Kluyveromyces lactis: one gene and its partner. The protein of the gene in region 2 interacts with the protein of the main gene of each other region in a pairwise test. Links are inferred from orthologs where the notes say so. Each region holds a gene or a part of one and is shown on either strand. Other genes may lie near its edges.

Evidence for each region.
Region 1: the proteins of HDA2 (region 2) and KLLA0_D16456g interact in a two-hybrid assay, tested with the Saccharomyces cerevisiae proteins (2 studies listed by BioGRID). The link is inferred for Kluyveromyces lactis from reciprocal best matches to the Saccharomyces cerevisiae genes HDA2 and ACE2.

Annotation. Positions count from the first base shown.
Region 1 is NC_006040.1:1,386,425-1,392,498, forward strand, and holds KLLA0_D16456g (uncharacterized protein), read right to left. Parts: upstream 3,987-6,074; coding exon 1,422-3,986; downstream 1-1,421. Other genes in the region: USB1 (phosphoric diester hydrolase), read right to left, coding at 4,749-5,603. UniProt on the Saccharomyces cerevisiae protein: Plays a role in regulating basal-level expression of CUP1. Activates EGT2 transcription in the absence of SWI5.
Region 2 is NC_006039.1:895,141-901,161, reverse strand, and holds HDA2 (Hda2p), read right to left. Parts: upstream 3,807-6,021; coding exon 1,902-3,806; downstream 1-1,901. Other genes in the region: sphinganine-1-phosphate aldolase DPL1, read right to left, coding at 1-1,378; GTPase-activating protein NEL1, read right to left, coding at 4,152-6,021. UniProt on the Saccharomyces cerevisiae protein: Required for activity of HDA1 histone deacetylase complex. The HDA1 histone deacetylase complex is responsible for the deacetylation of lysine residues on the N-terminal part of the core histones (H2A, H2B, H3 and H4).

The sequences.
Region 1 (6,074 bases), on a different chromosome or scaffold from region 2:
AGCTCATGCACCGTAAAGTCGTACTTTCTCAGTTGCTTGTGATGTTGTAGTTTTCTTTTTCTTCAAAATTTTTTTTTTTTTGGAGAATTAGGAAAACCTAGAAAATGCCGTGGTGGGCGAACTTACAGAGGCAATTTCGAGAATCAACTTAAAGGGTTACGGATTATCTTTTGATGTTTTGTACGTCACACAGTTGCACATCACCAAATAAGCAGATGAATAGGAAGAGAAAGAAAGATATACACCTGAGAAAATACCCACCAGGATGATGATCGTAGGAACTATGATCAACAAGGAAGAATGAGAGTGTTATTCAAGTCATTAATATGTTGTCTTTGGGAGATGAGTGGCCTTGCAATAGAGGTCATATGACCATCGGACCTTTTCTCGTGCAAATGATGGACGGAAGGTGGGACGAAAACACGTGAAGGAGTTCTTCCTTCTCTTTTACTTGGTCGTAAGTTCCCGTTGCTAGCCGTGCAACGTTTCGCAAAGGCCCAGTCCTAAAGTACGAACAAGCTGTATATAGTGAAAAAATTGGAGATTGGCACTCTACACCCATACATCACACTTCACGTATGGGCATTCGTGTGAGATCAATTTGACACAAAGGGGAAAGGGTTTTGCTACTTGCGACAGGAGGTATGGAGAAGTGTGTAACTGATTCATCATGGACCAAGATGAGGAGCCGGAATTCACACGCATTCTATGGTGTCTTCTATGTCAGGGTCCAGTAGATCTTACTCCTTTCGTAATGTGGCTAGCTATTACGTTTGCTCATGACAGGAAAACGACAGAAAGCTTTCGTTTTTCTTTTCTTTCGTTACTAAGTGCGCTTTTAGTTGCACTTAGTAAAGAATTTAAAATTGTCTATAGAGCTAGAGAGGTTACCTGCAAAATGGTGGATTCAATTTCTCTGGTTATGCCACTGTATTTGATTCCTTCGGAAATAACTTATCTTTTAGTAACCAGCGACAGATGAGCAGCGGCATACATTTCGTGCGAAACGAAAAAGAAAATTGTTTCCTCTCGAGTGATGCGGATTTGTGTAGGGAAGAAAAAGATGTAGCCAGAAAACACTGCAATGCACGAGGTGGCCTATATTTTTTTTCACTTAAATGGTTACAGGCCTGAAAAAAGTTTCAACTGCAAAGGTTACAGATCTGAGGGTGGGGGAGAAATCGGACCTGAGATGTCAGATCGGAACTTCTTCTTCTTCCCTCTGTTTCTCAGTGAGAGCGGGGTAGATAGTTGATAAATCACTAACGGTTTTTCTGTTTCCATTGAATAAAATAGTATTAAAAACGTTATAAAAGAACATATTTCAAGAGTACTTAGTGATTTTGAAAGTGTGCAATGTTGGATAAAATTAAGACAAGCCAGTTAGTATCTGCTAAAGATAAAATTCATTCTGACGAATTTTACACACCAGTTGTAGTTTGATTGTACGTCAATTGTTCTTGTACGCGAAGCGCAGCAGTAGTGTGTCCCCTTTGGATGTTTTCTCTTATGACATTCGGCACTTTCTTCGGGGAAACTGGTTTCCTGATCTGATTGCCGCCATTAAGTCTTATAGGCGAAGAATCCAAGTGATCGTAGTAGTCTAGGTCATGATTTTGTTCTTGGTTGCACAAATCTTCTTCATCCAGTCTGCCCTCATGACTTTTACGTTCTTGATGTTTCACAAGAGAATCTTCTGAATGGAACTTCTTACCACAACCTGCACACGAGTAACCTTTCTCTAAATGCGATTTCTTGTGTCGTAGCAAATCATGGTTTCTGACAAAAGCCTTTTGACATCCTGGGAAATCACACTTGTACGGCCTATCGCAAAGATGGGTTTGGATATGAGTTCTCGCGTTGTACCGTCTGTTAAACCTCTTTTGACAATCTTTAAACTTGCATTGGAACTGTTTAGGTCCAATTTCGAGAATGTACTTGTCAATCTGTTCTCTAGGCAGCATGCCATACCGTTTACCGTTCCTTCCCCCACTTACCATGGGGCTGGTGTTCAAATTGGTGTTTAGGCCAATTCCGTTATGATTGGGCCCTAGTCCCAAATCGACATGGTTATGTTGATTGTAAGGGAAATGCACCGGTGATTCAGCAATACAATCGAATCGCTCTTGAGATCGCAGAATTGGAGATGGGGTTTGAGCTTGTACGAACTCGCACTCCGGTTCGTCGTTGTTTCCGTTATTCATGTTCGTTAGACGGCCAGATTTCATATCCTCTTCGCCATCACGTGATGCAAGAATAATGTTTCTAGCATTTTGACCTTTCCTATCGTCAGGCCGTAGAGAAGTCGTGACAGTTTTGTCAAATATTAGTTTCTTTGTTGGAGTATGTTGGAAAGAGTGTTTTACTGGCATGTTCTCGCTGTTCAGCTTATTTGAAAATTGCCTATCAGGTGATTGCTTCTGTTTCAACGGAGTCGTTTCGCTAGATCCAGGAATCATTGGCATTATCTGCAATTGCGGTGGTTTCTTCAATTGGACCCTGCTGTTCAGCGTTATTCCAAGTCCCAGACTGGGTTGCTGTTGGGTTTGTTCTGATTCATGGTCATCCTCACTTTGCATTGGGATCGTAGATGCCGTCGATATCGTACTATCTCTTGCGAAATGCTTGTTCTGATGGCTGTTTTTGTTGTTAATGTTACTGTCAATACTACTTGCTGTTTCTAATCCATCATCACTTCGGGTAGTATGTTTATAATTACAATTCATTGATGGGGTCTTTGGATTATCATATATTTGATCTTGTGGCGTGATTGGTGGACGATTTGAACTTTTCTTGTTATACACCGCACAATTGGATGGACCACGACTTTGATTGTCCGTCAACTCTTGAAAATACTTGGACATCTTCAATAATTGTTCCGTGTTGTTTCCGACAGTACTCGTGCTTGATATAGAAAAGTTCATAGGAGGAGCAAGACGGTTATTACCGTTCTCAACCCCATCATAATTATGTTGACGACGTCTATGTGGAGATCCGTTGACCGATGCCCTTGAAAAGGGCGATAACAGTCCATTCCCCGCTCCCACTGCATACACTTTATTGACATCTTTATTAGGCGATTCGTCCAATTTTGTCCTTTCTCCCATTTGTCTTTGTTGGGATGAATCGTCGGAAGATGGTGGTGGAAATTGATACTTACCGTTCTTACCGTTAGAAGTAATAATTATACTTGTCTCCGGCCTTACCGGTGTGGTAGTAGGGATAGAAGAAACTTGATTTAAAGTCATTTGTTGAGCCTCCAGGGCTCTCTGTAGTTGTTCTTGTTGTAGCTTATTCATTCTTAGTTGATCTTCAAGCTTTTCATTCATCTCCTTTTGTCTTTGTAGAGCCAACTGTAACTCTTTTTGCTGTTGCATAATCGTCTCGCTCATCTTTATTTCTGCAGGCTGGGAAGCCTGCTGTGCTTGCAGTAGTTTTTGCTGTTCCTGTTGCAGGAAGGCCTGCTTCTTCTCATCTAGATTGATTGTCATGGACCCTATGCTTAATGATTTATTATGCTGGGCAAATCCAAAGATGGCAGTACCACTTGGCTTTTTCTTGTGATTTCCTGCGGCCCCACCACCTGGCATAAGTTTTCTTGGAGTGATTGATGGTATTTCTGTATTTACATTTCCAACACCGACAGAAGCATCATTATCGTTTACTACATTCCAATCTAATCCGTTTCCCGGGAACATCTCTAGATCAAGTTTTGAAAGTTCATCCTTAGGAAGTACTGGTATGTCAAGATCTCTTAATTCTTTTGTGAGAAATTCTTCAATATTTATATCCATAACAGGGTTGAAGTTCTCAAAAGCCTCATCTGGAAGAGGATAATCCTGTCCCCCATAGACAGAACCCAGATTATTGGAATTGTTTCTTGAATTCAGCAAATCCATCATGTTTTCTGATATTTCACCATTGTTTCCATCTACGACATCGTATGGATTCTTAATCAAGTTGGACCATTGCTCTGTGCTACTCATTGGTCCAGATTGAATAAACACGGTTCGAATGTATTTTTGTTGGTACTATCAAAAACTTCTTATTTTAATCCCGCTCTTTTAACTTCAAGTCAACTTGGTGTTTGCGCTCTTACCTATGTATCTTAGTATTGAATTATCTTTTCGGTTCCTTGTTGCTTCCAGTCTTTCTTACTTCTAGAGGCTCACTTCAAAAATCGATTGCACCTAACCTAAAGTTGTTCTCCTTGTTAAGTTGTAATATATCTTATGCAAATGATTAAACTGCTAATATCAACGGAGTGTTTCCAATACCTGATGCAACCAATAACAATCGATGTTACAGATGTATGGGGAAGATGGGGAAAACGTAATGAAAGCTTCAACTGGAAGAGTTTCTTGTTATATGAACCAAACAACAGTTGCTGCAAAGTTTATAAAAGAGGTACATAGTTAAAGAAAACACAATTATATGTTTAGATGTAGAAATAGACAATGCAAACATAGCTTCAAGGGCATTATGCTTTGTTCGAACGAGGTTTTTGAAGCGCTATTACCCGATTGGGTTCAAATATCAACATAGCTGTTCATATCAAAACAAAGAAAAAAAAAGGTTGATGCGATTTTTAACATGGCTTAACTAATCGTACTAATTAGGAAAATTCGCATATCTAATCAAGTCATGTGACTGATAGTGACAAGCAAGTTTACCAATTCTGAATGATTTTCTAAGTCAGGCATGTGCCTGATACAAGACTACCGCTTGAAAGTAGTATAAATTGATATTTACAACCTATCAGCGGATTTCGAGAAGGGCATCGAAATCACGTCTACTCCAATCTCCGCCTTGATTTCCTGACATCTAAATTGCAAGTCTGCTCTCAATAGAGGTAACTGTGCCAACGCTTCCGTAGCTAAAATATGTCGTAGATATTTGCTCGACTTTTCAAATTCTTCCGCATTTTTAAATTGTTTATTGTTTGGAATAACTCCGAACGAAATGTGTGCTGTCTCAGGGTCTATCACCTTTGAATGATAAGTTGGCGGGACGTTTCTTTTTATCGCATCAAGAATAGGTTGTAACTGTCGCACTGATGATTTGGATAAATTCAACGTCAAGAACGTGAGACTTGAGTCAAAATTATCGTAGAGACGCCAGTTACCTGCCAGAGAAATTGGAATCGATTTATATTTCAAAGTGGTGATTTCTTTCTTGATTTGAGCAACACTCGTTGCTGTCTCCGCTCCATCGGTGAAATACAACGAAGACGTCAAAGACACATGTAAGGGCTTAATGGTACCTAGCTTTCCACGATGTAAGGGTTCAAAGTTAGTCATATGATGCATGTTCATTACTGAGTTTACGTCGTTCAAAATCATATCAAGCACCCGGTTCTGTTTGGAATCAAGCCGCAGCTGAAGAAACATATAGCAAGTATTTCTACCCATCGGAGCTTTGTACATTCTATCGTTCAATGGGTTCAGAACTGGTGGTTTATTAAACTTGTGAATGATTTGGTCTGGTAAGTTTGGTAGCAATGAGCTTCTGTCCTCTTCTTCCTTATTCTGGATAGGTTCCCCGTCAATTTCAATATCACTGCCTTCACTATCACTCAAGTATACAGACGATACTAGGCTCATACCTACAAAGCTTGTAATTTCAAAGACGGGGCCTCTTATCTTCTAAGTAGTTACTATAATTTCACTGTGAATCACCATTGATGATGATCTCTTTTCAGTTTTTCAGGTTAATAATAAGAGTCCCATTTTCTGCAGATATATGTCTAAAATGACAAAGAATAATAACAAGTAACATGGTATTGACCGAAGGTACCCTCCACCTTCACGAACTGAGTAAGTTGCTCTCGCAAATTGTGCCAACTGGATGTTTCACACTAACAAAAATTGAAATCACGTGATATTATAAACAACTCACCTTTAAGTAAATTTTCACATGTCATTTTTCATGTGACTTAAAACCCTTCGTTCCATGAAATTCTGATTTGCAGAAACATCTAGCGCAGGACACAAATCGAATCTTCCTAACATATCCAGGAATAAACAGAATATAAATATAATAGGTTTCCAACTACCAACTTTTCATTATTCTGT
Region 2 (6,021 bases):
CCTTTTGAATGAATTCTTTCAACTCACGAGCCTTTCCGACGATGTCTTTACATGAATTAATGTATCCATCTGCTCCCACATGTACCATAGTTGCCCAACAACCGACAACCAAGGCACCCGGTCTACTTCCCGCAAGCGTTGGCGATCCATACAAACCTCCTGTCCACTCGGTACTGACATAATACTGTTGTTTCCTCAATTCAGGGTTGCGGTACATGATAACGCTAGAGCCTTTTGGTGCAAAGCCATATTTGTGTGTATCACATGAAATAGAGGTGACACCGGGAACTCTGAAGTCAAACAATGGTACATCGTTAAATCCGGCCTTGGACATGAACGCAACAATGAATGATCCCAAACAACAGTCAACATGAACAGGAATTTTGTAAGTTTCACCAAGTTTACCGATCGAAACGATATCGTCAATGATCCCGTGAGGGAAGTTTGGAGCAGAGCCAGCCAACATAACAGTATTTCTATTGATAAGTTTTCTCATCTGCTTAACATCAGCTTGGAATGTCACAGGATCCAAATCAACATGATGGATCTTTATGCCAAAGTAATATCCCGCTTTGTCAAAACCTGCATGTGCTGTCTTCGGGATGATTATTTCGGGTTCGGTAATTCCCTTGTAGCGCAATCCAAGCATTTTTGCGCTTACACAAGCCAATAACAACGACTCCGTACCACCACTTGTTGTAGTACCACAACCAGTCGGTGGAGCATTAAATAAGTTCAAAACCATGGACACTACCTCTGCTTCCATTTTACGCACACCAGGAAAGACATCTGGATGCAACTGGTTCGCCACACAAAACTTTTTAAACGCTTTGGATTGTAAATCAATCAAATCATCCCCACCATGATACACTGCACCAGATACTTTACCATTTTCCCAATCAGAATGCTTCAAAACAGAATTGAGTTTATCTAGTTCTTTCAATACATCAGCTTCACTTAATCCTGTTCTTGGTAGTTCAGGGAAATCCTTTAAATTCGCATCGTTTTTTATCATATCTTTCTCTATTGTGGCTAAGACTTTAGAAACCTCTTTATCGACAGAACCTCTTACCATTGGTAAGCTCAATAGAACCTCAAATAAACGTCTACTGGCATAATGGAATAATTTAGAAATTGATGTCAGAAGCCCATACCCCCTTATGTACAAAATAATCCGGGACAAAACGTTAAAAAGCAGATGGTAAAAGACGGCGTCTCTGATGATCCAATACCAAGGCGTATTCCGAAAATAATCTAAAACTGCCACCTTGATAGAAGTTGCCAGTATAATAGGATCAAGTTCGAACGTGTTGTATTTGTATGAATATCCTAAAAAAAAGCGCTTCTGCAATCCTTCAATGAAACTCATCTTTCCCATTATCAGAAAACTTGTATCAAAATCAAGTTCAGAGTTTAACAGTAGCCAAGATTAAAGTGTTATTATTTTGTGGGAGTCAGCTCAATACAACGCAATGGTAAGAAAAAAAAAAGAACTGTATACCCTTAGTTTCTGCTTTCAATTTGAGAGCAAGACATAAAATCTACTAAAAGTTCTTATTTTCTACCCTATATGCAAAATACCAGACGAATCAGTAAAGGTCTTTAAAATCCGAAAAGTACGAAAAAAAAAGCTCAAATTCTATGTTCCAGTTTCAACTGAATATGGTTATGCCGATCCGTTACTGCCGCAGTTAGGGTGGTCATGTCGAAATTAGAATGAACAAGTCACTATTGACTCACATAATACAAACTGGTCTATATAGAGGAGTAATTGCGCTAGTGTTACAATTTTGCAAGCAAGCTTGTGTTTACCAGAATCTGACAGGCTTTCAGATATCAGTATATTGCATGCAGTAGTTGAGAGATGGTTTGGTCTGGATGTATCCTAGAAGGAGTAATACTTATGTGTACGTAGGAGAAGTAGCCCTGGTAGTTCTTGTAGTGTACCTTGACGAGTTGTTCGTTGCCGGAGATGATTTTTTTGCAGGTTCGTTTTCAATGTTGTATTGGCCTTGTATTCGGTTCATGTATTGTATTAGGAATTGAGACTGCTGTACCATTTTGCGTAAGGAAGATTTGAGTTGTGCTTCTTTTTCTTGCAATATAATAAGTTCCCACTTGGTGAAAGGTCCATTCAATTGGCGTTCCAACTCCTCTTTCTCAGCTTTCAGAGCTGAAGTCTTTAGCACTTCTGAAGCAGCCTCAGACGATTTTTGTTGGTAGCTAGATCTCAAATCGTCATTCTTAAAGGACTCTTCATCGTTACTCTTCTTGAAGGAAGAAACTTCATCTGATAGCTTGGTATGTTGTTGCTTCTGATTTTCAATTTCTTTTGCAATATCTTCGAGAGTTAAGAGCCTTACAAGCTCGGATTTGCGTTCAACCAAGCTCTTTAGACGTTCTTCTAAAACTTCCAACTCAGATCTTGTTCTTTCAACGCGTTTTTCAGAGTCGTTGATTTTGGTTTCATTTTCTTTGAGTTTTTTGAAATGTTGTCCGATATTCACCTTCAAATCATCAAAGTCATTTAACCTTTTAGTTTCTTTCAATCTGGTCTTGAGGACTAGTTTTTCACGCTCTTCATATTCTACATGGCATTGTTTGAGTCGTTCTGCCGTGAGTGTTTTTAAAATATACTGATAATTTTTAATGTCCATTGGTCCTGATTGTAGCCTTAATTCATATTTTCCGTAAGTTAGAGGCATCAATTCCATTGGGTTAGTTAGAAAAGGAATCAAATCATCATTATTTCTCGAACTTCCTGGATTTACACTTGGGAGAAATTCACCAGGGTCCGTCTCTTTGATCAATGAGTCAATAATATTTTCATATTGTTGTAAAGAAATAAGATCTTTGATATCGGCACGATACTTTAGAAAATGAACAATGGAATCCAAAATTAGCTTTTCGGAAGTAGTAGTTGGCTTCTTTTTGGATAACAAATAGTGATCCGGAGAATCTTGGACCAATAGCTTAAACAGAGGAGTTTTTCTGCCATTTTTCCTGACTTTGAATATCGATGGTAACGATTCGTCCAGCATTGGATCAAAACTGATGATAAGATCCAGATTGTACCTAGAAAGTAAATCTTCAGAGTGTGTCAAATGTGTGGTTGTTGCCAAAAACAACCAGTCAAGTTGAGATATGTTATTCTTACGTCTTGACTTAGAGTAGTTGTATTCATCTTTCGATTTTCCGATTTGCTCAGGAGCTACGCTACCAGAACTTGATGAATTTTCACCATTGGTTGTTCTTGAACCAGAAGTTTGATCGTCATATTCATGTTTTTCGTCAAACAAAGAAGTTCCAGATAACCTCTTCAACTTTGCAACTTTTCCCAACATGACGCCTTCAATCAAATCCAATTCTTTCACAGAATGTGAAATGATAGCAACTTGCAATGGCCTCGATTTGTCCTTACGATTCAATAAAAGATCAACCATTAGATTTAACTTGCCAAATTTATCGCTGGTGTATATCAACCTTTCAGTTGGTTCCATTAACAAAAACTGTCTAGGCATATAATGCTCAACTAACAGGCAAGGGTGATTCGAGACAGCTCTTATATTTTCGAAGAACCATTCAGTTAACTGAACATCTGTTAATGCAGTCATACTCAAGTCTCTTTTGAGATTTGTCCCTTTTTTTTCTAATTTAGATTGTAGTTCTGGCAGTAGACGTTTATCTACACATGAGACAAACGACTCTGCATGTATCGAGATTAAAATTTCCAACAAATCTTTCTGAACTTGAGTTAGGCCAACAGGTATATAAAATACCTGAGTCCGGTTGGAAGTGGAGTTCATCTTTCTTTCCCTAATGAAACGACCCAATGGCTCGCGCTTGCAGTTTCTCTTTCTTTTCCTCTGGACTCTGGCTTTTAATGTGCTATTCGGAAAGAATGGTTAGATTTAATTATATAGTATCTTTTAAAAAATGAAATATGTCATTTTTGAAAAGCGACAGATGGAGAAACCAAGGAATACGTACATAGTATCTTTTCCTGCCATACAATTGTTATTCAAAGGGGGAGCGATAGATTCGAAGGTTGCGACAGTAAATGGGGAACTATTCTAACCTTTTGGTTTTGGTTATATATATATAGAGTTCATGATATCTGTTGAGAGGTAAAATGAATGATTACATACTTTTCATGCAGTACTTTTTGATTTAAACAGTGCCATGTATTTATCAAGCGTGAGGTCATCAGAATGCAAAGAATGTTCTGCAGTTAAGCCTAGTCGTGCAATTACAAATCTATCCTGACTAGCACCTGGCTTGGTTTCTCGATACCAAGGCTTTGGAAATCGACTTCCATCGTGGTATATGGTATCAGCAGCTGCCTTCAAACTGTCAACTCTGCTATCTCCTACTGAAGTATCTCGTACCACAAGGACGTTACCACCATCTACCAATAAAGGTTCGGCATAATTAAGGATGTCAGTTGTATTTTGAATAAGCCCTGTGGTCGAATACACTTGGGGTCTAACCATCTTGAATATATGACTTAAAGGGGAATTCAGAATTGTCCAATGGTAGACGATCCACTCGTCAGGCGATGTATTTCTCTTCCTTAAGAGAGTTGATCTTTGCATAAAGTACGTTACTTCTTGTAAGGATTTAATGCCAGGAACATCGATGGCATTCAATGATTTAAGAAGTTTTACTATTTCTAACGTCCACCACCTTAGATCGTAATCATAAAACTTGCCTTGAAACAAGACAGCGAAAGATATTTTTTTCATTATGGATCCAGCCATTATATCCCAGTGGAAATTTTGGGTTAAAAGATGTTCACCTGGTAAGGTTGTACTGGGAATAAATTTCGTTTCTACAGAAACGTATTCTTGATTCAAGTGTTTATAGTAGCATTCCATTTGAAAGGAAAATTTATCTGGCATTTCTTGCAAGGCTTCAGCAGCGCTGCGAGATGTATCAACAGATAAACTTATCAAAATTGATGGTAGATTACTACTTGGCCCTTTGTAACGGAAGGTTCCAGACCCTCCAAAGCCCTTTGGAGTGTCAGATACATGTGTGTCCTTGTCTTTCAAGGATGAGACTGGACCAAAGATCCCATTCAGTAATAGCTTGTTAGAAGTTTTGATAACAATTCTGGTTATTTCATAACATCCTTTCCCTTGAATATACGCCTGCCAATCATATATGAAATTTCTATCATTGAAGGATTCGTATTGAATAAAGTTGTTCAAACAGGATCTCATCTCCCATATTCCGACCTGATCCATGGATGCGACGAATACCGTGCATGGAGCAAACTTTAAGGACTTACTCATTTTATTGTAAAATTCTCTAGAAGGTTTCCAATATTTCACATCCTTGTCTTCCTCTATATTTCTATGCTGCCTGATATGATTTTTTCGGTCCATTGAGATAACCTTACCTGGTGCTACTGTACAGGGTCCGAAAACAAATGCAATGGATTGTGATGGGTTTAGACATTGTGCTAGAAAAATAGCGAGTGCAGTGTTTCTTCTACATCTTTTTTTTGACCTAGTCCGTTGACATAGAAGTTCCGCGAGTTTAGCACCGAAAGATATTTGGTCCGTCCAAATCTTCCTCACTAAAAGCCCATACTTTGCAATGAACCATTCTGTGTCAAGCTTCTTAAGATGGCTGATACAACTACTAGATTCTGCATCTACGGTAATGTGTGACCCGTCAGTATGAATAGTGACAGACCCATCTTCAATCGTGATCAGGGCCAATGACTGGACAGAACCAAATTGTAACATCTTCAACGCGTCTAGATTTTCCTCAAATTCACAATTAAGATCGATGATTATGGCGAACTTGGAATGCGTAGGCACAGCAGCAGTTCCTAAATGTTTTAGGTATGACGATGATAATGGAATATTCCCTAGTTCATTATAAGCATTACAAAAAGAACAAAACCACCCAGCTCGTGAATCTCTTGAACATAAAAAATTCGCAAACCCTCCACAGATTTTACAATTGGTATAATTCTCACTGCTTGCTAGGCTTGAATTCCCGTCAATT